Linked DNA regions of Macaca mulatta. The protein of the gene in region 2 interacts with the protein of the main gene of each other region in a biochemical or structural test. Links are inferred from orthologs where the notes say so. Each region holds a gene or a part of one and is shown on either strand. Other genes may lie near its edges.

Evidence for each region.
Region 1: of the proteins of MALT1 (region 2) and RELB, one has a biochemical effect on the other in vitro, tested with the Homo sapiens proteins (2 studies listed by BioGRID). The link is inferred for Macaca mulatta from reciprocal best matches to the Homo sapiens genes MALT1 and RELB.

What each region holds. Positions count from the first base shown.
Region 1 is NC_133424.1:57,550,698-57,553,625, reverse strand, and holds the end of RELB (transcription factor RelB), read right to left. Parts: intron 1,339-2,928; coding exon 959-1,338; 3' UTR 557-958; downstream 1-556.
Region 2 is NC_133423.1:22,266,876-22,270,701, forward strand, and holds part of MALT1 (mucosa-associated lymphoid tissue lymphoma translocation protein 1), read right to left. Parts: intron 2,040-3,826; coding exon 1,862-2,039; intron 1,141-1,861; coding exon 1,066-1,140; intron 241-1,065; coding exon 113-240; intron 1-112. UniProt on the Homo sapiens protein: Protease that enhances BCL10-induced activation: acts via formation of CBM complexes that channel adaptive and innate immune signaling downstream of CARD domain-containing proteins (CARD9, CARD11 and CARD14) to activate NF-kappa-B and MAP kinase p38 pathways which stimulate expression of genes encoding pro-inflammatory cytokines and chemokines.

The DNA.
Region 1 (2,928 bases), on a different chromosome or scaffold from region 2:
AAAAAAATTTCCTTGAAAGTTTAAACTAACCTGCATTTCTTCAAGCATGAAATCTGAGTCCTGAAATTAAGGGACAATACACAGTAAGACAACTTGCATACAATTAAGGGTAACCCAAAATCTCCAAACACTATAGAATGACTATATTCCCCTTTTCAGGGCATAAACTAGAATGTTACAGCCATCTTTTTATCTTTTTTATTTTATTTTTTTTTCTGAGACGGAGTCTGTCTTTGTCGCCCAGGCTAGAGTGGCGCGATCTAGGCTCACTGCAACCTTTGCCTCCTGGGTTCAAGCGATTCTCCCACCTCAGCCTCCCGAGTAGCTGGGACTACAGGCATGCGCCACCATGCCCGGCTAATTTTAGTATTTTTTGTAGAGACTAGGTTTCGTCTTGTTGCCCAGGCTGATCTCAAACTCGTGAGCTCAAGCGATCCTCCCGCCTTGGCCTCCCAAAGTGCTGGGATGACAGGCCTGAGCCCCCAGCCAGGAGGCTTTCTTTGCTACGTAAGGAACTAGGGCGTTTCCCAAGCGCAGAATAGACGAAACTCCCGAGGCTCAAAAACTCATCTTTATTGGGAAGACTCTGAACAACCAACCTACCCCCCACCTTCAAGTCTGGGGAGGAAGGGCCGGGCATCTGCCCCCTCCTCCCATATGTACAATCTTTTCCGAATCCTACTGGAGAATGTTCCCCCACATGTGGTGACAGAGGCAGCTTTAACAAGCTAGTGCACGGGAGCCATGTCCCTTTTCCTCTCCGGACTCAGTTTCCTCATCTGCAAAATGGGCTCAAGGGGAAACCCGTGCAACGGAGCTTCTCGCCAAGGCTTGAATATGTCCATTTCAGAAGCATGAGGAAGGGCCAAGGGGATGGGGGTGCTAGACATCCTGGTTGGGATTGCACAGCTCCTCCACCTCCCTCCCCACCCAGTGCCCCTCCTCTGGCATCGCGGGGCTACGTGGCTTCAGGCCCTGGGGATAGGAGGCCGCCCCCAAAGGCCGCCTCGCGGTACTGATTGGGGAACATGTTGCTGCCCACGAGGCTGGCGGTGCCTCCATCCCCGGGGCCCGGGGCCTGGTACGAGTCCAGCGTCAGCGGTTCAGGGCCAGGGGGCTCCCCAACCACGGCTCCGGCACTGCACACAACAGCGCTAGCATGTGGTGGTGCCGGGGGCAGCAGGTCCAGCATGGTGAAGAGTGTGGGGGCTGTAGGGTCGTAGGCAAAGCCATCATCCAGGAGGTCAGGCCCGCCAGGGGGCTCCAGGCCGGGCAGGGACACGGTGCCAGAGAAGAAGTCAGGGTCTGGCAGCAGGGCTGACGGCGGGAGGAACGGGCCTACGGGGATGAAGACAGAGAAGTGTAGTGTGATTTAGGGCCAACTTCTGACCAGGCCCTAATTCAAATGCCCCACTTCCTGCAAAATGTGATATCAAGGTGGCCTTTTTTTTTATTTTTGAGATGGAATCTCATTCTGTCGCCCAGGCTGGAAGGCAGTCGTGTACTCTTGGCTCACTGCAACCTCTTCCTCCCCGGTTCAAGTCGATTCCCCTGCTTCAGTCTCCCGAGTAGCTGGAACTACAGGCACGTGCCACGCCCAGCTAATTATTCTTTTTAGTAGAGATGGGGTTTCATCACGTTTGCCAGGCTGGTCTCGAACTCCTGACCTCAGGTGATCCACCTGCCTCAGCCTCCCAAAGTGCTGGGATTACAGGTATGAGCCACCAAGCCTGGCCTTAAGGTGCCATCTTAATCCCAAGGAGAATCCATGTGGGACTATCACCATTCTCAGATAATAACTAAATTGAAGGCCAAGAATATAGCCTTTTGGCATGGTGGTTCACACCTGTAATCCCAACATAACATAGCAGACCCTGTCTCTACGAAAAAATTATTTAAAAGTTAGCTGGGTGTGGTGGTGCACGCCTGTAGTCCCAGCTACTTGGCAGGCTGAGGCAGAAGGATTGCTTGAGCCCAGTTTGAGGCTGCAGGGAAGTATGATTACATCACTGCACTCCAGCCTGGGGAACAGAGCAAGACCTTGTCTCTAAAAGTAGTGATAATAAGAAGTAAACTAAGGCACTGAGGGCACTGAGGGAAAGTCAGTGGAAGGCTCACACAACTGTTGTGGAACTAGCATGTGAAACCATGCTCCTACACAGCTGTGGAGAGTTTTCCCTGAGAGTGAGGAAGGAGAAGAGGTTCCAAAGCCCCCCAACATACAGAGACAACCCAAAAAGTGAAATCTCCAGACCATGGGAGACACAAGTTGGGAAGTCACCAGTCCCAAAATTGTCAGAAAAAATAAATGTCGGCCGGGCGCGGTGGCTCAAGCCTGTAATCCCAGCACTTTGGGAGGCCGAGACGGGCGGATCACGAGGTCAGGAGATCGAGACCATCCTGGCTAACAAGGTGAAACCCCATCTCTACTAAAAAATACAAAAAACTAGCCGGGCGAGGTGGCGGACGTCTGTAGTCCCAGCTACTCGGGAGGCTGACGCAGGAGAATGGCATAAACCCGGGAGGCGGAGCTTGCAGTGAGCTGAGATCCCGCCACTGCACTCCAGCCTGGGCGACAGAGCGAGACTCCGTCTCAAAAAAAAAAAAAAAAAAAAAAAAGTCATTCTTAGGCATAATGAGGACTTAAGAAAAAATAACAATCAAATCAAAAAGTTTCATTATAAGAGGGATTCTCTGGCCAGGCATGGTGGCTCACATCTGTAATCCCAGCACTTTGGTGGGCCGAGGCAGGCAGATTACCTAAGGTCAGAAGTTCAAGATCAGCCTGGCCAACATGGCAAAACCCTGGCTCTTCCAAAAATACAAAAATTAATTGGGCGTGGTGGTAGGCGCCTATAATCCCAGCTACTCGGGAGACTGAGGCAGGAGAATCACTTGAACCTGGGAGGCGGATGTTGCAGTGAGCCG
Region 2 (3,826 bases):
GATACTAATTCCAAACCCACATAATAAGAATTAAACAATCACCAGAGAGGGAATCCTGAATAGGTGTGTCCCCCCTGCTCTTTTTTCTGAGTAGTTCCTCTTTATTTTTTACCTTCTGCAACTTCATCCAGTAACACAGTGATTTTCTTATCTTCTAATAATCTATCTTTCAAAAATTTCATAAAGATTCCATTTGCTAATCCAGAATGCTGGATTTCAAAAGCTTCTGCTCCTTGACACCTTAAAAATAGAAAAAGAAGTTAAACCAGGCACAGAAAGGCAAATACTGTATGTTCTCACTTATATGTGGATGCTAATAAAAATGAACTCAGAGAAGCAGCCAGCAGAATGGTGATTACCAGAGGCTGGGAGGTGGGCACGGCACAGGGACTGTTAGTCACAGGGTACAATGTTTCAGTTAGGAGGAAAAAAATGGTAAGTATTTGAGGTGATATGTGAATTAACTTGATTCAATCATTCCACATTGAATACGTACATCATAGCATATCTTTGTATCCCATAAATACCTACAATTATAACTTGTCAATATCCAATAAAAATAATTTTTTAAAAAGAAAATGTTAGAAAAACAAACACTTGCCACATGGGACTTCTGTGTACACTGATGAGCCTCATTTTCTCTTCTGCCTCTCACATGACATCAATAATTAAAGAGTTAATCTTTAAGCAGGAACTACATGCCCAATTTGGGCTTAATAATAAGATACCACGATATGGAATGCTAAAGTTGACGATTTAAAATTTTCTACCAAGAACATCAAGGAGGTAAATTTATGCCTACATGTCTATAGGTATTTTCTAGGCCTCTAATCTAGAATCAAAAAGACCTCAGGAGCCAGGCACAGTGGCACATGCCTGTAATCCCAGCGACTCAGAAGACTGAGGCAGGAGGATTGCTTGAGCCCAGGAGCAGTGAGCTATGATGGCGCCTCTGCACTCCAGCCTGGGCGACAGAGTTAAGACCCCTGCTCCTAAAAAGCAAAAGCAAACAAAAAGATATCAAAGAATAAAGGAAACTTCAACGTAAACATAAAATTTTCTTACGTGGCATATCCAAACACAATATTGGCGGTGACTTTTAGTGCATCCAAGATTGGAATGGTATCATCGTAGTCATTTCTATTCAACGGAGGCAGAGAAGAGCAGACAGAAATATGAAAAGTTAAAGATCATCCTTAAAAGAGTATAAATAATGAGATAATACAACAGTATTTTAGAATACATAATTTAAAATTATAGATTCAAAATCTTTCATCTAGGTAGCTACATATCTACCCAAAATAACCCACTAACTCCTTGTTAGCTTTAAAACCGGAGTTGCATTTGAACTCTGGCATTGGATTTTGATTCGTAAATGCTGAGCAAGCAAAAAATAGTAAGTCTAGAGGCACTGGTTCTATTTCTTAGAAAGGCAATGGCAGATAAATGGGATCCAAACCTCCAAACATCTGCTTCGGCTACTCATTCTGTATCTGGAAGACCAGGACTGACTAGTGACCAGAAATCCCAACTCCATGGGTGCTGGTTTTGTTAATTCCTGAGGGAATAACTACAATGATTATTAAAGTCATCTAAAGGCATTCTGGAGAGTTGAATCCCCTGTAGTATGAGTAAATGCCCATGCCCTTTAGTTCTTTATGTTCTATAGCAAATATGAAGAGTTAAAATAATTAGATATACATGGAGTAAATATATTTTTCTCTAGTTTTGTTCTTCCAGTTTCGATGTATAAACTAAAATTCACACACGCAAATGGCTGTTAGCATTTCGCATGTTTCTCTAGTTTGTCAAGGTTGATATTTAACTCCAACAATTGTTTAATAAAGATTAGAAAATTTACCTTTTCCTACACATATCCAATAAGAATACATTAAGTCCAGTTTCTTTTTCTTGCATCAATTTCAGTATATTTTGTACACACAGACAATTTTCAGACCTATATGGATTTGGAGCATCAACAGGGACCATGAAGCTGTTCCCAAAATTTTCATAACCATGTCCTGCATAATACAATAACCCTTTGAAAAGAGGAAAATAAAAGAGAGGTAGATTTCAATTCTAAATGCACTGTGAACATACAGACTGCATAACTTTTTGTAAAAAAAAAAACCATGACTTTAATTTTCTTCAAGGTGATGTGAGCATATGTAAGAAATACCCAATTACAAATATAGACAATGTTAATTTGCATTTAAAATTATTGTAACAGGTCAGGCATGATGGCTCACACCTATAATCCCAGCACTTTGGGAGGCCAAGGCAGGGAGATCACTTGAGGTCAGGGGTTTGAAACCAGCCTGGCCAATGTGGTGAAACCCCATCTCTCCTAAAAATACAGAAATTGGCTTGGCGTTGTGGTGGGCACCTGTAATCCCAGCTACTTGGGAGGCTGAGGCAGAAGAATCACTTGAACCTGGGAGGTGGAGGTTGCTATGAGCTGAGATCATGCCGCTGCACTCCAGCCTGGGCGACAGAGCAAAACTCCGTCTCAGAAAAATAATAAATAAAAAAAGTATTACCAACAATCTGTACTTAAAATTTGCATTTTAAGACAGTAACAAAATGCTGTCTGAAGTATATCCTAATTTATAAAAGTAATATATTTGTAACCAATAGTATAATCTAAAATACAATTTTATTTTATGATATATAAAAAAGAATGCAGCTAGGATTTCTCTCCTGACTCATTTGTCTCCTCCATGAAGCTAGGAGTTCTGTTAGGGCAGAGACAGTCTTACATTTATTTATTTGTGTATTCCTGGCATACAGCAGGAGCTTAGGAAGTATTTAACAGATGAACAAACACACACAATTCAGATGAACAGCACCTGCAATATGAAGTTAAGAAACTCCACAGGTATTACCATAAACATTAGTTAAGGGTTATTAAAATATAAAGGTAGTTTTATAATCAGAGATGGGAAATCTGATTTCACAGATTACTGTTTTTTTCTTTTTGCTATGAGGTATGAATACCAATCTTCCATCTAGAGTCTTTTGAATTAATAATCTAAAATTTGCGATATTTTTAGGACTCAATAGATGAATCATATTTCCTTACTGAGAAATGATACTATAAAAACTAACACAACTCAATGTTTTCTTGAAAATAATTTTGTTTTGGCTGTAAAAAACAACAAAAATATCAGTCTGAACTTCTTCATAAAAATACTGGACAAAACACTTTTGAAGATATCCTCCCCTCTGCTTGCAATTTCTGGAGCCCACTAATTTTGCTCTCTCAATATTCTGGATTTAATTATTTCTTTACACGGTATTTTAAAGCAAACAGTAAAAGCCATTTAGATAGGGAATCCGAAATAGCTAATCCATTGTAATTATGGCCCCGACTCCTAGCAGAGACTGTGGCTTTGAGAATTAAAGACAATTTGCTGCATGTGGTCCTACAGGACAAAATCCACGTCGTCTGTTTTTTTTGAATTTCTATTAAAATGAGAAAAATGGTTCTTTCAAATACAACATTTCAGCTAAAATGAGAAAATAGATACAGCCATTTATCAAGTGTGGGTTCCAGCTCATGTGTGCTCTGGAAGTTATCACATAGGCACTGAGAGATGAAAAAGAAGGACGAAGACAAAGTTCCTAACCTCTAAGCAGGAGACCGGGAGATTCATGTATGGAGATTCACACATGTTTATGTTATCAAGCAACAATGAAAGCCATCATATAATTAAATGCCATAAGTCATGTTAGTGGAACAACCACCGTGTATGTATGAAATGAATAAAGTACAGAGAGGAATATCAGTATGAAGTGAAACAACAGGGGATGGTCTTAAGAGAGG